4 linked regions of the Saccharomyces cerevisiae S288C genome follow. Changing the gene in region 1 together with any one later gene gives a genetic interaction. Each region holds a gene or a part of one and is shown in the gene's direction. Other genes may lie near its edges. The genes, in order: HTZ1, TUB3, UME6 and SEM1.

Region 1 (5,019 bases):
CTCTCATTCTGAGATATAGACGTAGCCTCTCTTACCAGATTTATGTCATCGGGACACGACACGGTGCCAGGAACATAACTATCTGTGGGCGACCACGCATTAGCGGCCAGTAGAAACTGAGAAATTGCGAATATGTAACTGATAATAATTTTTGAACATAATGGACGTATCATTACTTATATTATTATGTGTGTAATTTCCTTGCTTTTAGTCCTCTTAAAACGGCGTATTCCAAGCTGAAAAGTGAAATATTAGAACTCGTAAAACCACGTATAACTTATATAAAAGTGGATGAAAAGCGTAACAATAACATAGTAGTGTGGTAATAATGGTGATAGAATCCCTGCAAGTCTGGATCTTGCAAAAGAAGTGCCAAATTGAGTAATTCCATAGCCAAGCCATCTTAAAAGCAGGGAAAAAGAAAGAAGAGAAAAAGGCTCATTGCACAGAAGAACCAGTACAACATTCGCGGAACCGGCAAGATATTTTCGTGGAGGACTAAAGCGAAACGAAAACGGATGAAGTTGCGGTATTTCCTGATTTGGAAGTTCTATGGGGCGTCCACCGGTTTCAAAAAAAAAGGAAAAATGATTTGCGTTTTAGTCATTGAGAACGAAAGGAGGAATTGGATTACGCGGGCAGTAATATGGTGCGCGATGCTGGCGTATTAACGCGAGATGAAGGAGGCTGAAGTCAGGAAAACTCATGTGAGTGTGACGTTACCGATGACATTATGGACACTTTTAAATGGTCATGTGACGCGGTATCACAGGAGGCAAACAACTGTACTCAGCAATTTCCCGATCACCTACTAACTGCGCTCTCTTCGCCTGGTATGCTCTTTTTGCAACGCACAAAGCTTCGTATAGTATTCATTATACGATTATTAGGAGTGCTGATGACTATCGTCTGTATTCTCTGAAGTGTTTGCCGCTGTTGTGTCTTGCCTTGCAACAGCGTATGTTTACCGTTTTATATATTGCGTGGCGCGCACCCGGTGATAAGAAACATCCATGTGATAAAACTCCGCACGTTGCTTGATTAATTAACCTCGGAGGTGTTACCCGCAATCAATATGTCTGCCAGCCGCCCGCCCGCCCCGGAGAAAAGAGCTTAGGACAAGAATCACTGTCTCTTACCTTGGAATCAGGGCAGGTCCGCACAAGCGGTAGTAAGCACATACCTAAAATAGCAGTATTCTTCTTTCTTTAGAGAACGTTAGACTCAATTGAAAAGGTTTACTGAATGCATCCATGCTAGATTAGCACACAGTAACTTTACGCCCGTAACTTACTACTCGTAGAACTGGCCGCTGGTGTTCCGTAACCCGCCGCGCTCGCTCCGTGCACGAAAACAACAAAACAAAAAAAACAACAAATAAAGCATACAGCTCTATTTAACAGCTGAACTATTATCCAGTGTAATAGAGTCACAACCCCCAACTAAAAAACACTGCGGACTCTATTATACTTCAGTCGGAAAAAATATCGTTAAATTCAATTTCGCACTATAGCCGCACGTAAAAATAACTTAACATAATGTCAGGAAAAGCTCATGGAGGTAAAGGTAAATCCGGCGCTAAAGACAGTGGTTCATTGAGATCTCAATCTTCTTCAGCAAGGGCTGGCTTGCAGTTTCCTGTCGGTAGGATTAAGCGTTACCTGAAAAGGCACGCTACCGGCCGAACAAGAGTAGGATCCAAAGCTGCCATTTATTTGACTGCTGTGTTGGAATATTTGACTGCTGAAGTGCTGGAGTTGGCTGGTAATGCAGCCAAGGATCTTAAAGTCAAGAGGATTACCCCAAGACATCTGCAATTGGCCATTAGAGGTGACGATGAGTTAGATTCTTTGATCAGGGCTACAATTGCTTCAGGTGGTGTTTTGCCTCATATAAATAAAGCATTATTATTGAAAGTGGAAAAAAAGGGAAGTAAGAAATAAGAAGAATAGTTTTTCTTTCCCATTTCCCGTAATTCTCCCTGCTCCTGTATCCTCATTCTATCCATATTAACGTCTGTATCATTATTATAAGTTGAAATTTGTCTCTCCGTACCCGAGTTATATACATACATATATGTAATCTATCTCTCCTTTCACGTCTAATCTCTTATGTTTTTACTATAATATATAGCATGAAAATATACTCTCACACAATATTCCCAACGATAGCGCAGTAGCCGTTATGTACGCAGAAATTTGGTCAGGGCTTTCTTTTTGTTGAACTTTGCATACCCGGAAAAATGGAAATTAAGGACACCTACAAAAGTACACTGTAGAAATCAAATCAAAGAAAAGGTTTAATAGACGATAAATTTCCATACGTGCCGACAGGACAAAAAAAAAACCCCCCTACCATTTCTAATAACAGCTTCACCACTAGTTATACTGTCGACTTTCTACCGATTTGTTGGTTCCTTTTTATAACCAGAAAATCATCTATCAATTGCAATTTGTAAGAGAAGGGGAGAAAGACAAAATAATAATATGGTGCCAGAAAATAGAAGGAAACAGTTGGCAATTTTTGTAGTTGTCACATATTTGCTCACATTTTATTGCGTGTATTCAGCCACCAAGACAAGCGTTTCCTTTTTGCAAGTAACACTGAAGCTAAATGAAGGCTTCAATCTAATGGTTTTGTCGATATTCATCTTATTAAATTCTACCTTACTATGGCAACTCCTAACGAAACTATTATTTGGTGAACTGAGGCTTATTGAGCATGAGCACATTTTTGAAAGGTTACCATTTACCATTATAAACACCTTGTTTATGTCCTCACTGTTCCACGAACGGTATTTTTTCACAGTGGCATTTTTTGGACTATTACTACTCTATCTGAAAGTTTTCCATTGGATTTTAAAGGATAGGCTGGAGGCCTTATTACAGTCAATAAATGATTCCACCACAATGAAAACCCTTATCTTTAGTAGATTCTCATTTAACCTCGTACTATTGGCGGTTGTAGACTACCAGATAATAACACGATGCATCTCCTCCATATATACAAACCAAAAGAGTGATATTGAATCCACATCCCTTTACCTGATACAAGTAATGGAGTTTACCATGCTTTTGATTGATTTGCTAAATTTATTCCTACAGACTTGTTTGAATTTCTGGGAATTTTATCGCTCACAACAAAGTCTGTCTAATGAGAACAACCATATTGTCCATGGCGATCCTACAGATGAAAACACGGTTGAGTCTGATCAATCTCAGCCAGTGCTGAATGACGACGACGATGACGACGATGATGATAGACAATTTACCGGCCTGGAGGGTAAATTCATGTATGAAAAAGCAATTGACGTATTCACAAGATTCTTAAAAACGGCACTTCATTTGTCTATGCTAATACCATTTAGGATGCCTATGATGCTTTTGAAAGATGTGGTGTGGGATATCTTGGCACTATATCAAAGTGGCACAAGTTTGTGGAAAATCTGGAGAAATAACAAACAGCTCGACGACACTCTTGTCACTGTCACCGTAGAACAGCTACAAAATTCTGCAAATGATGACAATATTTGTATCATTTGTATGGATGAGTTAATACATTCTCCAAACCAGCAGACGTGGAAGAATAAAAACAAGAAACCCAAAAGGTTACCTTGTGGCCACATACTTCATTTGTCGTGTTTAAAGAATTGGATGGAACGTTCTCAGACTTGTCCTATTTGTAGATTGCCTGTCTTTGATGAAAAAGGTAATGTTGTGCAAACGACTTTCACTTCCAATAGTGATATCACGACACAGACCACCGTAACAGATAGCACTGGGATAGCGACAGATCAACAAGGTTTCGCAAACGAAGTAGATCTACTTCCCACAAGAACAACTTCCCCTGATATAAGGATAGTGCCTACTCAAAATATAGACACATTAGCAATGAGAACAAGGTCAACCTCTACACCATCTCCTACGTGGTATACGTTCCCATTACATAAAACTGGTGATAATTCTGTTGGGTCAAGCCGATCAGCCTACGAATTTTTGATCACAAATTCAGATGAGAAAGAAAATGGTATTCCTGTCAAATTAACAATAGAAAATCACGAAGTAAATTCTCTGCATGGAGACGGGGGCGAGCAAATTGCCAAGAAAATTGTCATACCAGATAAATTTATCCAGCATATCTAGATTGCATGTTTTATATTATACATAGTTTTTTTTAAAGAAAAAAACTACTGGATGAAAAACACACACACACACACATATATATATATTATACATCAGCGGAAATTACTCGATATCTAGAAATGCGTACACATGCTACATCGATCAGCTACGTCTGACCGAATACTTTTCAATAGTAAAAAAGGGGGCGAGCTGGGAATTGAACCCAGGGCCTCTCGCATGCTTTGTCCCCCTGTTAATCAGGAAGTCGCCCAAAGCGAGAATCATACCACTAGACCACACGCCCGATCTTTTCTGAGAACCATGAAAAGACTCAGAATTTATAATACACATCATGGCCTTCCAAAGCAACTCAGCCTATGTTGAAATGTAATTCTAGTACCATCCACTTATTATTGGTATTCATGTTACTAGTATATTATCACATACGGCATAGGAAGGTGACATAATGATTAAGGAACAGCTATCACATATAAAGGAAGCAGAAATCCTAAGGTTGATAATGCAATAGGATAATAAATGATAACATATAAAATGGAAGAAGAAGTAAACATTATCATAATATGTAGATATATCGACTCTCCTTTTGTGAATTCCTATATACTCAAGAAGAACTTCCAGCATATTTTGTATATTTAATATTATAACCTGTAACAACGATGAAATTCCAACAATTATCTCAAAATCACTCATATTTCAATTAGAGGGATAGTAATAGAAGAAGAAATCTGGTCCAAAATTCTTTTAATACTTGGATAAGTAAGTTATTCACGTAACAAAGGCTACACATTTACTATTCTTTCATGTAGAAATGCAATAAGCCATCTACGGTTCGTGGTGGAAAAATACAATAAAAAAAGAATCACCCGTAAAAAAAAGC
Region 2 (5,092 bases), on another chromosome or scaffold:
TCGGTATACTCTGCCTAATAAACCTTAATTTTCTTACAAAAAAAAAAAGATTCAATAAAAAAAGAAATGAGATCAAAAAAAAAAAAAATTAAAAAAAAAAAGAAACTAATTTATCAGCCGCTCGTTTATCAACCGTTATTACCAAATTATGAATAAAAAAACCATATTATTATGAAAAGACACAACCGGAAGGGGAGATCACAGACCTTGACCAAGAAAACATGCCAAGAAATGACAGCAATCAGTATTACGCACGTTGGTGCTGTTATAGGCGCCCTATACGTGCAGCATTTGCTCGTAAGGGCCCTTTCAACTCATCTAGCGGCTATGAAGAAAATGTTGCCCGGCTGAAAAACACCCGTTCCTCTCACTGCCGCACCGCCCGATGCCAATTTAATAGTTCCACGTGGACGTGTTATTTCCAGCACGTGGGGCGGAAATTAGCGACGGCAATTGATTATGGTTCGCCGCAGTCCATCGAAATCAGTGAGATCGGTGCAGTTATGCACCAAATGTCGTGTGAAAGGCTTTCCTTATCCCTCTTCTCCCGTTTTGCCTGCTTATTAGCTAGATTAAAAACGTGCGTATTACTCATTAATTAACCGACCTCATCTATGAGCTAATTATTATTCCTTTTTGGCAGCATGATGCAACCACATTGCACACCGGTAATGCCAACTTAGATCCACTTACTATTGTGGCTCGTATACGTATATATATAAGCTCATCCTCATCTCTTGTATAAAGTAAAGTTCTAAGTTCACTTCTAAATTTTATCTTTCCTCATCTCGTAGATCACCAGGGCACACAACAAACAAAACTCCACGAATACAATCCAAATGAGTTCCGTCAATAAAGATACTATTCATGTTGCTGAAAGAAGTCTTCATAAAGAACACCTTACCGAAGGTGGTAACATGGCCTTCCACAACCATTTGAATGATTTTGCTCATATTGAAGATCCTCTGGAAAGAAGAAGATTGGCTTTGGAGTCCATCGATGACGAAGGTTTCGGTTGGCAACAAGTTAAGACCATCTCCATTGCTGGTGTTGGTTTCTTGACAGATTCTTATGATATTTTTGCCATTAATTTGGGTATCACTATGATGTCCTACGTTTACTGGCACGGTAGTATGCCAGGTCCAAGTCAAACCTTGTTGAAGGTTTCCACTTCTGTTGGTACTGTTATTGGTCAATTTGGTTTTGGTACTTTAGCTGATATTGTTGGTCGTAAGAGAATTTATGGTATGGAACTTATTATCATGATTGTCTGTACCATTCTGCAAACCACTGTTGCTCATTCTCCTGCTATTAACTTCGTTGCTGTTTTAACATTCTACCGTATTGTCATGGGTATTGGTATCGGTGGTGACTACCCACTATCTTCTATTATTACTTCTGAATTTGCCACTACCAAATGGAGAGGTGCCATCATGGGTGCTGTCTTTGCTAACCAAGCTTGGGGTCAAATCTCCGGTGGTATCATCGCTCTTATCTTGGTTGCTGCTTACAAGGGCGAACTAGAATACGCAAACTCTGGTGCTGAATGTGATGCTAGATGTCAAAAGGCTTGTGACCAAATGTGGAGAATCCTTATTGGGTTGGGTACCGTTCTAGGGTTGGCATGTTTGTATTTCAGATTAACTATTCCAGAATCTCCTAGATATCAATTGGATGTTAACGCTAAGTTGGAACTTGCTGCTGCCGCACAAGAACAAGATGGCGAAAAGAAAATTCACGACACCAGTGATGAAGACATGGCAATTAACGGTTTGGAAAGAGCTTCTACTGCCGTCGAATCTCTTGACAATCATCCTCCAAAGGCTTCGTTCAAAGATTTCTGCAGACATTTTGGTCAATGGAAGTACGGTAAGATTTTGCTAGGTACTGCTGGTTCATGGTTTACCTTAGATGTTGCTTTCTACGGGTTGAGTTTAAACAGTGCTGTTATTCTGCAAACCATCGGTTATGCCGGTTCCAAAAACGTTTACAAGAAACTGTATGATACTGCTGTCGGTAATCTGATTTTGATTTGTGCTGGTTCATTACCTGGTTACTGGGTATCCGTCTTCACTGTCGATATAATCGGTAGAAAACCAATTCAATTAGCCGGTTTCATCATCTTGACCGCTTTGTTCTGTGTCATCGGTTTCGCATACCATAAACTTGGTGACCATGGTCTGTTGGCTCTTTACGTCATTTGTCAATTCTTCCAAAACTTCGGTCCAAACACAACCACCTTTATTGTTCCTGGTGAGTGTTTCCCAACTCGTTACAGATCTACTGCTCATGGTATTTCTGCTGCATCTGGTAAGGTCGGTGCCATTATTGCACAAACCGCTTTGGGTACTCTAATCGACCATAACTGTGCTAGAGACGGTAAGCCAACCAACTGTTGGTTACCTCACGTCATGGAAATTTTCGCCTTATTCATGTTGTTGGGTATCTTCACAACCTTGTTGATCCCAGAAACTAAGAGAAAGACTCTAGAAGAAATTAACGAGCTATACCACGATGAAATCGATCCTGCTACGCTAAACTTCAGAAACAAGAATAATGACATTGAATCTTCCAGCCCATCTCAACTTCAACATGAAGCATAAAAGCCTCAAAGATGCACTAAAACTTGTAAACTAGAACAAATAATACAAAAACATTTTTATAAACTTATTATCAAACCCCTTACATAATCTATAAATACTGTCAGGTTACATATTTATTCGATAATTTCTTTTAATTTCATTATTTCCTCACATCTCTCTGCCATCCTGTTGGCTGGTGCCAGAGCAGAGCATATCGTCCTTTCTTTTTTAGTTCCAGACGTTACCCGACATATCATTTCTCGAGCCTCTGGAAACCACGAAACGTTTTACAAATTGCACATCTAAAAGAAATATAAACACAGATCAGGTATCTCATAAAGTACATTAATCGACTAAGCAAGCGACTTGAGACAATGAGAGAGGTCATTAGTATTAATGGTATGTATGCGTTCCTTTTTTTGTTCAATATTCGCAACCAATGGCACCTGTGGGACAGGGAAAGAAGTTTGATCTGATCTGGTTTGATTCATTCCCAATTGGTCACCATCTGGTTGATTTACGGCAAATAATTTGACTTGTACCAGCACAGTTTACTAACAGTTTCTTTTTCTCCATTTTTTCTGGGCATACTCGGACGAAAAAGCTCATAATTGACCTCATTACATGGGGAGTGATTTTTGTGTCTTCTTCTTCGGAGGATTGCTGGAACTTTTGTTATTTTTCTTTTTTACAACAGTTGGTCAAGCAGGTTGTCAAATAGGTAATGCATGCTGGGAATTGTACTCCCTAGAGCATGGCATCAAGGAAGACGGCCATTTGGAGGATGGCTTGTCAAAACCTAAGGGAGGTGAAGAAGGATTTTCTACATTCTTCCATGAAACGGGGTACGGAAAATTCGTCCCAAGAGCAATCTACGTGGATTTAGAGCCCAATGTTATCGATGAAGTACGTACAGGACGTTTCAAGGAGCTTTTCCATCCAGAACAATTGATTAACGGTAAGGAAGATGCCGCCAATAACTACGCAAGAGGCCATTATACAGTGGGTAGAGAAATAGTGGATGAAGTTGAAGAAAGAATTAGAAAGATGGCCGACCAATGTGACGGTTTACAAGGGTTCTTGTTCACCCACTCCCTCGGTGGTGGAACTGGTTCCGGTTTAGGTTCCCTGTTATTAGAAAACTTATCGTATGAATACGGGAAGAAATCCAAATTGGAATTCGCCGTTTATCCTGCGCCTCAATTGTCTACTTCCGTCGTGGAACCTTACAACACGGTTTTAACCACGCATACCACCCTGGAACACGCAGACTGTACGTTTATGGTCGATAACGAAGCCATTTACGATATATGCAAGAGGAACTTGGGAATTTCTAGACCAAGCTTCAGCAACTTGAACGGGTTGATTGCCCAAGTGATATCATCTGTTACAGCCTCTTTGAGGTTCGATGGTTCATTAAACGTGGATTTGAACGAATTTCAGACCAACTTGGTACCATATCCAAGAATTCATTTCCCTTTGGTTTCCTACGCACCCATCTTGTCCAAGAAGAGGGCCACCCATGAATCCAACTCCGTGTCAGAAATCACAAACGCTTGTTTCGAACCGGGCAATCAAATGGTTAAGTGTGACCCAACAAAGGGGAAGTACATGGCTAACTGTTTGTTATACAGAGGTGACGTGGTGACCAGAGATGTCCAAAGAGCCGTCGAACAGGTGAAGAATAAAAAAACAGTACAAATGGTGGATTGGTGTCCAACAGGATTTAAGATTGGTATTTGTTATGAGCCACCAAGTGTGATACCAAGTTCCGAATTAGCCAATGTGGATAGAGCTGTCTGCATGCTATCCAACACCACTGCCATCGCGGACGCTTGGAAGAGAATCGATCAGAAATTCGACCTGATGTATGCCAAACGTGCTTTCGTCCATTGGTATGTCGGTGAAGGTATGGAAGAAGGTGAGTTCACCGAAGCTAGAGAAGATTTAGCTGCCTTAGAAAGAGATTATATTGAAGTGGGTGCCGATTCTTACGCTGAGGAGTTCTAAGAAAGTGGCTCTGATCCCGATACCCACTTATAGATTTATATTTACTTAATGTCCATATGTATATACATATATATATATATATATATATACGCTTATATATATATATGCATATTCTATCCAAATAAAGATACCTCTAATTATCGAATTATTTTTCACTTACCTTTAGGTGTACAGTTAGAACAATAGCTTATTAAATTTATTTTTTTCCCTATGTTCCGCGGAATATTGAAAAATTTGAAAATATTCTAAGACAAAAATACCCATAAAAAACAAAGAGTTTTGAGCTCATCTCGTTGCCACCCAAACTTATCACAAAAAAGGAAGCACTCCAAGAACCGCGTGAAGAAAATGTCAAAAGAAGACATAGAAGGAACTAACATTCTAGACGAACCTGTCCACGGGATCTATATTCCTGCCGCGCTATTCGTTGTTGGTGTTGCAATCACCACGTATATGTCTGGTGAATTGAAAATCCTGTGGAGTTTACCCATTCTCTTCAT
Region 3 (7,579 bases), on another chromosome or scaffold:
GAAGGCAAAGCAAAGTAAACAGGCAGTAAGCGCAAAGAAAAGTTCGTACAGATATAATCGAATTTTCTCGTTTTTTGACATTTCGTATCCTCTTAAAGCCGCTTAGCCACACACTGCGGAAGAGATATGGCATGGTTCCGAACAATTAGGTTTGGAATAGGGTCTCGCTGAATTATTAGCTAGCGTGGCTTATGCAAGCCTGACGTGGCCTGAGAATATGGAAAAAAGAAAAAAAAAAAGCAAAAATAGAAAATAAGAAAAGGATTGAAATTAAAATATTAAAATTAAAGGGAAAAGAATAGATTTATATAACTTGAATTAAATTAAATCAAAGTAGATTAGACTGAGTACATAGACGATAGGTTATTTACCTGTGCCCTACTCAGTCTTTATAATTTTTCTGGTTAGGGTCGTCTCTATACGACGATTGAGTTTTTTTCTGGGGCAGAGGATCTACAGAATCTTCTATGAATTCGTAAAACCTATTGGCGTAGTCTCTTGGAGGTATGGCACTCACCAACTTGGTATCATGGCGTAGACTTCTCCAAAACGTTTCTAATTTCTTCATAACTGAGTAATTAGTCAAGAAATCGATTATCCCCACGTAATAAATCAAATCCACATCATTGTTGAATTGATCAGATGCTCGAATTCCACCTTCAAACTCTCTAAAAAAATGTCGTACTACCGTTCCGGTACCGGTTCTTATGGGTCCTTGAGTCTGTGGTTGCTCCTCAATAGATGCCGTATCCGCCAATTGTAAGTCGTCTTCTTTAGCTTTATTGATGTCATGAATGCCAATTAACAAGGAATAGTCCATTGTATTCAATTTAGCAAGCAATTCCACATCTTTTTTCAGCTGTGTCAAAAAAGTCTTCTTCTTCAATGGACCGAATTTAATTTTCTGACCTTCTTCAAGCCAATTTAAATCTTTCATCACAGGCCTATATGATCTATCTTTCGCCAACCTTTCTTTATCCAAATTGGTAAAACGGCCCCATGTGGAACCTTTTAAATCATAAGTAATGTGAATGTCTAAGTGTGGTGGAAATAAGTTATTCATGACTAGGAAGTAAATTTTCCGATGCTTAATTTTATTTTGAAACGATATAGGCATTTTCACTCTATGCAAACCATAAAATTGACAAATCAAAGTGTTTGGATTGTCTCTTACATGGTTATAGTATTCTTGTATGTGCTTTCTCAGATGAATATGCTCAGAATGATGTATGGTCTTGATAATATATTTGTAATCTCTCGAATAATAAAAAAATGAACCACTTTTACCTGGCGAGTTCAACTCACTCAAAATGTACTTGGAAGTTAACGAAACCAAATAATCAGCAGGGTCTAAGCCGAATAATGCACGAAGTTCCCTAAAGACTTCGGGACAGTAGTCCTTAAACTTAAATGCATACTGAGAAGAAGGGGTCAATTCATTTCCGTGATAATCAAAGGCAAGCTTCTTCGTAAATCTAAAGTCTGCCGGAGTTAAAGGTTTCATTATGCCAGAACAACGTGACACTGCGACACGAATACCAGTTAGCATGTTATAAGCTATAATAAAGTTGACATGGCCTTCACTGACTTTATTACCGATCAAAACACGATCGTCATCCACCAAAAATGTTTTTCTTTTCCTTTTCATTTCTCTTTTATGCAGCAAAGATTGTCTCATCTTCTTAATTTCTGCCGTTGCAGACTCTGATCTTTTCAGACCCGTAGCAGCGGTAGTAGTAGTAGTATTATTATTAACAGCAGCAGCATTAGCAGCGTGATTATGGTTGGTGCCACGACTGTGTTGATAGTAGTGGTCATTCTCTGGCGGCAAAGAAGTGGTTGATTTGGATATCATATGATATTGCTTTGACTTTTGAGAAGGTTGTGGAAGTGGGTGAAGAGGCAAAGAAGTCATTGAGTGACTAATTTTAGTAGCAGAATTTGGTTTCATGCTGGTATCTCCATTGGCCAATTTTATTACATCTGAATCATCCATAGGTAGAATTTGAGAATGCTTGGAAGCGTGAAAGGGAATATTGGGCAGGTTTGAATCCTGAGTATTTCTTCTTTGCTTAATTGTCGTGGAAGTTGCTGTTACTGCCGATATTCTGGAAGATCGCCTCGAAACGCGCTTGTTTAGTAAAATATGATCGTCATTTAAGTCTTGTATATACGAATCTGTGTGAACAAGACTGGAATTGTCCAAATCCAAACAATTATTCGAGTTTAACGAGGGTGTTGTTATTTTCTTCGACTCCTTACCTTCGGGAAAACTATATTTCTGCATTTCCTTGTTACTAGTGCTATTTGGTCGGGGAGAAGTTATGGTGTTTGGATGATCATCATCCGTATTATTATTGCTGTTGTCATGCAAAGGATCAATTGATATTGAGTAGTTTCTCTTCACCAGCCTCGAATTATTTATTGTTGGGTTTAACTCTTCAATAGAGGTCGGAGTGGAAGACTCACCATCTGACAAGCGAGGACTTTCCATGTTTGACTCCGAATTCGATGAAGAATGGTAGCTAGTGTGATTATTGCGATCCTTTTTTATTCGATGGTTCGAATCCGGATTCGAATTCGAATTCGGCACCGAACGGTCTTGATGTCGCTCAATTATTGCAGAGTGCAATAGCGATGGTTCCTGTTCTGTTTTGCGACTGGTGGATGTTGTCAGATGTAGCGGTACAACTGAAGGAGGTTGTGATCGCAAGACTGACATGAGTTAGAAACTATTGATAGGGAAAAGCGATATAGGGCAACTGTCTCGGGGGGTGTAAACAGGTTTCGTACTCTCTTGCTTATGAATGTGCTACTTCTTGTTCCTATTTTTTGTTTCTGTCCTTGTTTTTTCTTTGCTTGTCCCTCCGTATTTGCTTCTTTGTTGTCACGCTTTTGTTATTTCCACCTCTATCTTTCCTCTCTGTCCCATTCCCCATCCATTCCTTTCTTTTTTTTTTTAACCTGTGTTTTGTTTTCCCAGAATGGGCGGCACGTTCTTATGTCCGTAAAAACGGATATACAAAAGCGACACGTCGTCTGAGGTGACACTCCACTCAACCCCACTTGCCCAAAACATGCATTGCTACAAGTAGTAGAGCGCAGTTTTTAAAGTCCATTGGTTGCACACGAAATCACGAGAATAATCACGAGAATAGAATGCACGTTGGATTTCGGGCATCCTATAATTGCCAAGACTGCGCTACTTCTCTTCTGTTTCGGTCCGGGTGACACGTCCGCCGTGCTTCAAGGCGCCTTTTCACCAATGCCAGGCGGAAACTGCCGCCGTCAAAAAGAAAAATGAAAAGAACATAGAGGACAAGGACAAGAGACCAGTGATCGTAAGAAGCGCCCACCTTCGCACAGCGCACAGGAACTAGGACACTACCGCACTCAAACCATTTGCATGGACCTTAACTCACGATGCTAGACAAGGCGCGCTCTCAAAGCAAACACATGGACGAATCTAATGCGGCTGCCTCTCTGCTTTCGATGGAAACAACCGCCAACAATCATCACTATTTGCACAATAAAACATCTCGTGCCACGCTGATGAATAGCAGCCAAGACGGCAAAAAACATGCAGAAGATGAAGTTAGTGATGGAGCTAACTCCCGCCATCCTACAATTTCCAGTGCTAGCATCGAATCTCTCAAGACAACCTACGATGAAAACCCTTTGCTTTCTATTATGAAATCGACATGTGCGCCCAACAACACTCCCGTGCATACTCCGTCTGGTTCGCCGAGTTTGAAAGTCCAAAGTGGCGGAGATATCAAAGACGATCCTAAGGAAAACGATACTACTACTACGACCAATACTACACTTCAAGATCGCCGTGACAGCGATAACGCTGTGCATGCTGCCGCCAGCCCACTCGCGCCTTCCAATACACCTTCGGATCCTAAGTCATTGTGCAATGGCCATGTCGCACAGGCTACAGACCCACAAATTTCCGGTGCTATTCAGCCGCAGTATACTGCAACCAACGAGGATGTTTTCCCTTACTCCTCCACCTCCACTAATAGTAACACTGCCACTACTACTATCGTCGCCGGCGCCAAAAAAAAAATACATTTGCCGCCACCACAAGCTCCAGCGGTTTCTTCCCCCGGTACCACCGCAGCAGGCTCGGGCGCGGGCACGGGCTCGGGCATCCGTTCCCGCACAGGATCGGATTTGCCGCTCATCATTACCAGCGCCAACAAGAACAACGGTAAGACTACCAATTCGCCTATGTCGATACTGAGCAGAAACAACAGTACCAACAACAACGACAATAATTCGATACAAAGCTCAGATTCGAGAGAATCCTCTAATAACAATGAGATTGGCGGGTATTTGCGCGGCGGAACTAAGCGCGGCGGCAGTCCATCTAACGACTCTCAGGTCCAGCATAATGTGCATGATGACCAATGTGCCGTGGGCGTGGCGCCCAGGAACTTCTATTTCAACAAGGATAGAGAGATAACAGACCCAAATGTAAAACTGGACGAGAACGAATCAAAAATCAACATATCGTTCTGGCTAAATTCGAAATACAGAGATGAGGCTTATTCTTTGAATGAATCATCCTCCAACAATGCTAGTTCAAACACGGATACGCCTACAAACTCTCGACATGCGAACACCAGCTCTTCCATTACCAGCAGAAACAATTTCCAGCATTTTAGGTTCAACCAAATACCTTCTCAACCTCCAACTTCCGCATCTTCGTTTACAAGCACAAACAACAACAACCCTCAACGGAACAATATCAATCGCGGTGAAGACCCGTTTGCCACTTCGTCAAGACCTTCTACTGGGTTTTTTTACGGCGATTTGCCGAATCGTAACAATAGAAATAGTCCCTTCCATACAAATGAACAATACATCCCACCACCTCCACCGAAATACATCAATTCTAAATTGGATGGATTGAGATCAAGATTATTGCTCGGTCCGAATTCTGCATCTTCATCTACCAAACTAGACGACGACTTGGGTACAGCAGCAGCAGTGCTATCAAACATGAGATCATCCCCATATAGAACTCATGATAAACCCATTTCCAATGTCAATGACATGAATAACACAAATGCGCTCGGTGTGCCGGCTAGTAGGCCTCATTCGTCATCTTTTCCATCAAAGGGTGTCTTAAGACCAATTCTGTTACGTATCCATAATTCCGAACAACAACCCATTTTCGAAAGCAACAATTCTACAGCTGTTTTTGATGAAGACCAGGACCAAAATCAAGACTTGTCTCCTTACCATTTAAATCTAAACTCTAAAAAGGTTTTAGATCCCACTTTTGAGTCAAGGACAAGGCAAGTTACTTGGAATAAGAATGGTAAGCGAATAGACAGACGCCTTTCTGCTCCAGAACAACAACAGCAACTGGAAGTTCCACCATTGAAAAAATCGAGAAGGTCAGTTGGAAACGCAAGAGTAGCAAGCCAAACCAATAGCGATTATAATTCTCTTGGCGAATCCTCAACTTCGTCAGCTCCATCGTCTCCATCTTTGAAGGCTTCTTCTGGCTTGGCATATACCGCTGATTATCCTAACGCTACTTCGCCGGATTTCGCTAAATCTAAAGGAAAAAATGTCAAGCCTAAGGCAAAATCAAAGGCGAAACAGTCATCAAAGAAAAGACCAAATAATACTACTTCGAAATCAAAAGCAAACAATTCTCAAGAATCGAATAATGCTACTTCCTCAACGTCTCAAGGTACAAGGTCCCGTACTGGTTGCTGGATTTGTAGATTAAGGAAAAAGAAGTGTACCGAGGAAAGACCGCACTGTTTCAACTGTGAAAGGTTGAAATTGGACTGTCACTATGACGCGTTCAAACCAGATTTTGTATCTGATCCAAAGAAAAAACAGATGAAACTGGAGGAAATCAAGAAAAAAACAAAAGAGGCCAAAAGAAGAGCAATGAAAAAAAAATAAAAGCTCACTGAAAAAAAAAAAGAGATATTGTTACTATTATTATTATTATTACTGTCATTAATACTATACTAATAAAGAAAAGGAAAATACGCATAATAATATTTAATTAACAATAATATAACATATATATATATATATATATATGTATGTACTACCATGTAATTTCAAAGACTTTCAAAAGAAGTTATACGTCAATTCTCGTGTACAAATCAGTCAAACTGTAATTCATTCGTACTGATAAGCCAAATTTCTACCTAGTATTCATATGAAGATTTGAAAAACTATGATAAAAAACGAACAATATTAAAACATATTATTCCGACTGTTTCCCCTCATGCTGTCCGTGTTGCTTTGGGCGTCAAAAGGAAATTGCATGTACTTCCCCACATCTTGCTGCATAGGTTGTTGAAACATTTGCCGTTGCGCTTGCGCATATGCTGACGACGGCGCAGATGTCTGGTACTGGTCACCTAGCCACGTTGGATTTGCAAAATTCATTGACTTTAATGAGTAAGCTTCGCTCTGCCATTGTAAATTTTGTGCATTATAAGGCGGAAAGACCCCTTGCCCCTGCTGGTTCAAAAAAGGATAGGGATAGGATACCATGGAGGCAGATGGAGGCATCGAGGCATTCTGATACGCGGAGTTTAATGAAGACATCGATGAAGGTTGCTGTGATGAATACAGACCACCTTGCATTGGCCTCTGGGCTTGATGGCAGACGTCATTCGCTGGAATTTGTTCATTCACCCCTTGCATGGATTTGGCAAATGATTTTTCCGCGTGCTTTTGTTGCATTGAAGATAGGATGTTGTTCAAATCGAAGGATGATTCATCTGTCGAATTTGAAGAAGAGATCGCTGCGTTACTGTAACCAGGAGATATATTCGTAATAGCGCCATCGGCGTTTTGACCGCTTAGTTCGATTTTTAACAGTTCTACATTTACTTTGTTCCCCGTTATTGTACCGCTGGGCTTAACATTGAACGTATCTGGGGCCATAGGTACAGACGAACCACTATAACCCATAGTTGGAGAAAAAGAATCCAAAGAGCTACTTCTCATTTGTCTCTCCAAATCCGCCATGGATATTGAGCCATTAGTGGTCGAAGGTTTGTTTTTTCTTTGTAACTTGGCCTTTTCATTGGATTGCTTCGATGTCTTCATACTATTTTTAACGGTCTCCTTAAATCCAATTTTCTTATTAAAGATATAACGTGATTTATTATCTGACCATTCTACTCCGCAGTTGTTGTTCTGCAATAATTGCGAACTTATATTCACAACAGCCTGCAACCTTAACAGCATTTCAGATGATGCCGATAACTTGTCGCATAATGGCGGATTACCAATTAATCTATCGAGACTATGATCCATTTCAAGAATTTTTTCATAATCGTCAAAATCAGATAGTTGAAAGTTAACGAATGATAAACCCTTCACCATTAAGTCTTCTTCGAACCAGTATGTCCTTTTAGGAATATGTTCTGTTATACTAAAAGAAGGACTTGGTTTTTTTTTCACAATATCATTTATCAAGTATGCCAAGGCATTAACAAACTCTAGATTACTTTGTGAATATTGAAGAACCATGGGATTTGCTTTTATCCAACAATTGATAATTCTTACCATACCTAGAATTTCT
Region 4 (5,179 bases), on another chromosome or scaffold:
AATCATTTGTTTTAGGCTGTTAACAGATGACCGGTGATTCCAGAAGCATCAGCGAACCCTCAATTAATCTAGATCCAGATAATACAAGTTTTTCTGATGAAAACAGCGATGACTTCTTTATGGACAATTCCTATGATATAGATGAAATCGATCATAGCGATGAAAGTAATAGGCAAAGTGTCATAGTTGACTCTAAAGTCACGGTACCGCCATCAAAGCATTCAACTCTAACATTATCTGATAGTGAAGATAGCGACGCAAAGGAACAACATCAGTCCCTGAGCAGATCATCTAGTAAAAATGTAAATATAGAAGATATTACGGAGCCCAAGCCAGACAAACCATCGGGTCGAACTAGAGGAAGATCTGTGATGAAAGAGTCTGTAGTTGAAATAAACTCATCTGAATCTGACTTAGACGAAGACAAAAATTTTCCCAGATCTAGGTCAAGGTCCAGGTCAAGCATAAGATCAATATCTCCAGCGGGAAAATACAAGCGACAGAAAAGTTCATTACTGTATACCTATGATGAAAACGATGACTTTTTCAAGGAACTTGCTAAAGAAGCCAAAAAAAGCACCACTATTTCTAAAGAATCGACACCCGACCAGCGGAAGCGAGTTTATAACATCAAATTTCTCTCTAAGCTAGAAGGAACTATAAATAAAGCGGTCCAAGTGAAGGTCCTCGGAAAATACGAATTTTCAAAAATACTTCCTGCTGCTTTGGACGGATTGATGAAGTCCTATAAAATTCCGAAGGTAATGAAAGATATATACAAGGTAGAGAATGTTACTCTTTATTGGAACAATGCAAAATTACTCACTTTTATGACTTGTAATTCGCTACATATCCCACAGGATTTTGAAAATGAAGTCTCTGATATCGATGTTACTATCGTATCCAAAGAATACGAAAAGAACTTTGAAGCGACACTGGAATCAAAGTTAAAGGAAGAAGAAGCTGCTTTACTCATAAAAGAACGTCAGGAGATGGAAAGGAAGTTAGAGAAAAAGAGAAATGAACAAGAAGAGTCCGAATATCGCGAGTTTGAATCCGAATTAAAAAACGTAGAAGAAACACAAGAAATAAAAGAAAATGATACAGTTATGAATACAAAACTTCTGCAAGAGGGTGGCTCTTTGTCAGGAAATAGTAGTAGCATGGAAGAAGTTATGAGAATCGCTCTCATGGGTCAAGATAACAAAAAAATCTATGTCCATGTTAGGCGTTCAACACCATTTTCTAAAATTGCCGAATATTACAGAATCCAGAAACAGTTACCACAAAAGACGAGGGTTAAATTACTTTTTGATCATGATGAATTGGACATGAATGAGTGTATAGCCGATCAGGATATGGAAGATGAAGACATGGTTGATGTCATTATTGATTGAGCGCAATTTGCTAAAAAAGGCCGAACTCCGGCTCTTTACGTGCCACAATTATTATTTACTATGGGCGGCGGGTGTGTTGGTGGTGCTTGCGGTACTTGTAAAATATTTTCTGAATATAATTGAATAAGACCTTTTGTGTTTAAATCATACTCGGGTAATTCTCTGTTCAAAAAGTAGGTGCTGACCCTCTTCTACCTTCCGTGAAATATTATAAAGGAATTTTTCCATCTCTAACTCAACATGTTAACGCTTTTCTATAAAAATTTGATCGCCTAATGAATACAAAAATCTCTTCAGCTTTTTCGTGCTAGGTTTGAATAGTACATCTAACGTAGAACAACTATCAAAACAATTTGATATTTCCTCGGCTATAGTTTTCTTGGAACAAGAGGTAAACTACTTCTCTATTGTTGCTACAGCAGTCAATTAAAATAATTCGTTTCATCATAATATTATGATATCAACGCTAAAAGGTTGTATAAATTACGAGATCAGCAGAAAATAAAATTCAAGCCATCATCCTTTAAGGTGATTTGAAGGGCAAGAATTGGTAGTGTAACTGCATCAATGAGTGATTAGGTGAAAACGAAGAAAAATAATAAATATGGTACTGTGCAGAATTGTTGATTTTCTTTTTTGAACTCTAAACCATCAAGAATGGCTTTCACCCACTATTGTTACACATAGTACTATTACTTACACCAAGATGGGATCCGACAAATATCTCAACACTATATTGGTCTACATGCTTTATCGATTGCTCCTTATTTACGTATTTCTATAAATAGGGCGTACTTTACCAACAGTGATCATGGATGCAAAAAATGTGAATACATTTATATGGAAAAAAGGTTTATATCAATATATTTTAAAGTGATTGAAAATTACTGATGTGTTTGATATTGTTGGAATAAGAATCAACCATCATATACCCGACTAACGTTCATATTATTAGTAAACTATCATATACAACCTAAGAAGTTGACATAAAGATTGACAAGCAGTTACCATTTTTAGTAGAAGTTGAAAAGCAAGAATTGATAACCAAATATTGTTTTCCAACAATGCAATCCCAACCCTATCTCAATATTCATAGAATTCACTTATTTCTCAGTTTAATACATGATGATGCATCTTGATATTGAGAAATTATATGTATTATCCCTTTTTAACCTTTAAAAGGTCACAAATAAATAGCCTTGTTGGCGCAATCGGTAGCGCGTATGACTCTTAATCATAAGGTTAGGGGTTCGAGCCCCCTACAGGGCTAATAACACATTCAAAATGTTATAAATTTTTTTTCGGGTTTGTGTTTAAAACTAACCTTCTAAAGAAAACAATAAAAATTATATCAACATTTCCTCATGTCTTTGTAACCTACTAGTAGGGATTTTGAAGGGCTGAAAGCTTCTTAGTTCTGTCGGATCCATTATATTATCATTATTTACGAAACTAGTGCTATGGGTGGCGAACGTGGTGGGCGTTACCTTTTAAAGTCCTAATGGAAACCTACCTATGCATAAAGTGAATAGAGTGGCAATAAAAGTCGAATAATAGTACAAATACGCAAAAATATGAGTACGGACGTTGCTGCTGCACAAGCCCAAAGTAAAATAGATTTAACAAAAAAAAAAAATGAGGAAATAAATAAGAAGTCTCTAGAGGAAGACGATGAATTTGAAGATTTCCCCATTGACACATGGGCCAATGGTGAAACAATAAAAAGCAATGCTGTAACGCAAACAAACATATGGGAAGAAAACTGGGATGATGTTGAAGTTGACGACGATTTCACCAATGAATTGAAGGCCGAATTGGATAGATACAAACGGGAAAATCAGTGAGGGGCTACATAACATTATTTCTAAATAACGCAAAAGGAAATTATACGTCTAATGTTACTTTAGTACATTGTTGTCATACTAGTATATTTTGCTTAGATGATAAAATAAATAATAAAAAGAGATACGAAAGGCTATGCGGTAGTCGATTATATGGCCTTGTAGTATAATAATGATGCACGCAAAGTATTAAATAACTCAGCTGAGATTTCTCATTTCTTTAAATGCAGTCTCAGTTTAAAAAATTAACTATATTAAGATCCGCTCTTTCTACCATATGATGCAAATGTGTCCTCGAACTAGTACTTGCAATTTCAGGTAACCCCAATCGTTTCTTTATTATTGTCATTTTTACTATCATAATAATATCATCCGTAATAACAATTAAGTAACAAATCACATCCATGTAACCATTTAATTTGTTTCAAGTAACATTCCGAGTGAATAGCTAGTCACATACATATATCTTACCTGCCGCTCCGCTGCAAATGACTTTACTTGTTTCTTGAGGATGCCAGTCCACTTGAGTTATAGGCTTGTTGCCTGGAATCTTGATGTTATTTAATAAGCGCGACGTATTCCAATCCCAAGTAAATAGTCTGCTTTTTGAATCGCCTGAACATATGTAACGACCATCACCAGAAAAAGCCAAGCTTATCCCATAACCAGCAGATGAATGCCCTTTAAATATCTTTTTTGGATGCCTCTTATATTTGGGTTTCAAACTGAAAGAATATATTCTATTATCCATGCTTTGTGCACAGAAATAGTTCTGAGACGGATGTACATTTAAAAATGGCATAGAATGTTGAGCCGTGTCACTTATTTGTTTTATTGGTACATTGATCTGATTTTCCCAAATTCTTACCGTCTTATCCTCTGAAGAAGAAATAAACTTCGAACCATCGGGAAAATACTTGAGAGCCAGAATGCTACTTAGGTGATGATCATATGTCTGCACAAGACCTTGATTTTCTGAAACACGATCATCATAATGTAATATTTTCGAATTCGATAAACCTACAATGAACTCATGTGGGTTAGTGGGCCGAGATTCAACATCTGCAGGCGTTGAATTAAGGTGCAACCTGGTTTTCACTTTACCAGTTTCAGTATCCCAAATTTTAACGCTTCTATCAAAGGAAGAGCTCAAAAAAGATTGACAGTCTTCGGTGAATCGTAATGCTTTAATAGGCTTGTTATGACCTTGAAAATCTCGTAGGCATTCATAGTCATGGTAGAAATCCCAAATTTTTATAGTATGATCATTACCACCAGAGAGAATTAAGTGTCCAGTTTTAGGTAAGAATTTCAGGGCAGTGGTTCCTTCTGGATGCCCCGGATAATTACGTATAACTTTTTTTGGTAAGTAACACCGAAAGGATATCCTTTCCTCACGAAGATCAACATCGACGTCATTTGGTGGATATAAATATCCTCTGCCTTGATAGTCCTTTTCTGATTTACCATAAAAATGGGAGACTTCCTCTACCTCTATCTGTTCCGAATCTAGGTTGTCCTCAGCCAGCGCGTGCACGAAGATATCCTGATCTTCTTTCTGAGTTTCGCTGGCTTGTGAAGTTTCATCGTCACTACTTGACCAACTGCCCCACGGCCCATCTCCTTTGCGAGTTTTCCGTCTTCTTTTTAGTTCTGACTTTGTAAAATGTGATTTTCTCTTATGAATATTATTTGAAGAAGGTTCATACGAAGTATCTTCATGCAAATTACCATTTTTCTTTTCATGAACAGATTTGCCTTCGTCGAAGTTCAAATCAGAGTCTGAGCTTGTGTCATAACCGTCTACTAAACCCATTTCATCTGCTCTTCAAAGTACATGCCGTGTTTGTTGCACTATTTGGCCAAAAATAAAGGAAAAATTTCAAGATTTTTTTTTTACCTCATCTCTAGCAAGGACACAGTACTCCCTCGTAAATAAGA

The links.
Region 2: mutations in HTZ1 (region 1) and TUB3 together harm fitness more than expected from each alone (negative genetic interaction), as found in Saccharomyces cerevisiae (9 studies listed by BioGRID, with this or other methods).
Region 3: mutations in HTZ1 (region 1) and UME6 together harm fitness more than expected from each alone (negative genetic interaction), as found in Saccharomyces cerevisiae (5 studies listed by BioGRID, with this or other methods).
Region 4: mutations in HTZ1 (region 1) and SEM1 together harm fitness more than expected from each alone (negative genetic interaction), as found in Saccharomyces cerevisiae (8 studies listed by BioGRID, with this or other methods).

What each region holds. Positions count from the first base shown.
Region 1 is NC_001147.6:300,503-305,521, reverse strand, and holds HTZ1 (histone H2AZ), read left to right. Parts: upstream 1-1,538; coding exon 1,539-1,943; downstream 1,944-5,019. Other genes in the region: PLB3 (lysophospholipase), read right to left, coding at 1-173; E3 ubiquitin-protein ligase HRD1, read left to right, coding at 2,487-4,142. UniProt on the Saccharomyces cerevisiae protein: Variant histone H2A which can replace H2A in some nucleosomes. Nucleosomes wrap and compact DNA into chromatin, limiting DNA accessibility to the cellular machineries which require DNA as a template.
Region 2 is NC_001145.3:21,548-26,639, reverse strand, and holds TUB3 (alpha-tubulin TUB3), read left to right. Parts: upstream 1-2,956; coding exon 2,957-2,981; exon of another isoform or gene 2,982-3,076; intron 3,077-3,279; coding exon 3,280-4,592; downstream 4,593-5,092. Other genes in the region: YML122C (uncharacterized protein), read left to right, coding at 222-602; phosphate transporter PHO84, read left to right, coding at 840-2,603; PGA3 (cytochrome-b5 reductase), read left to right, coding at 4,941-5,092. UniProt on the Saccharomyces cerevisiae protein: Tubulin is the major constituent of microtubules, a cylinder consisting of laterally associated linear protofilaments composed of alpha- and beta-tubulin heterodimers.
Region 3 is NC_001136.10:863,367-870,945, reverse strand, and holds UME6 (DNA-binding transcriptional regulator UME6), read left to right. Parts: upstream 1-3,423; coding exon 3,424-5,934; downstream 5,935-7,579. Other genes in the region: MSS4 (1-phosphatidylinositol-4-phosphate 5-kinase), read right to left, coding at 383-2,722; EBS1 (Ebs1p), read right to left, coding at 6,238-7,579. UniProt on the Saccharomyces cerevisiae protein: Component of the RPD3C(L) histone deacetylase complex (HDAC) responsible for the deacetylation of lysine residues on the N-terminal part of the core histones (H2A, H2B, H3 and H4).
Region 4 is NC_001136.10:1,199,157-1,204,335, forward strand, and holds SEM1 (proteasome regulatory particle lid subunit SEM1), read left to right. Parts: upstream 1-2,971; coding exon 2,972-3,241; downstream 3,242-5,179. Other genes in the region: ESC2 (Esc2p), read left to right, coding at 27-1,397; CDC40 (Cdc40p), read right to left, coding at 3,687-5,054. UniProt on the Saccharomyces cerevisiae protein: Versatile protein that might stabilize multiple protein complexes involved in diverse pathways. Subunit of the 26S proteasome which plays a role in ubiquitin-dependent proteolysis.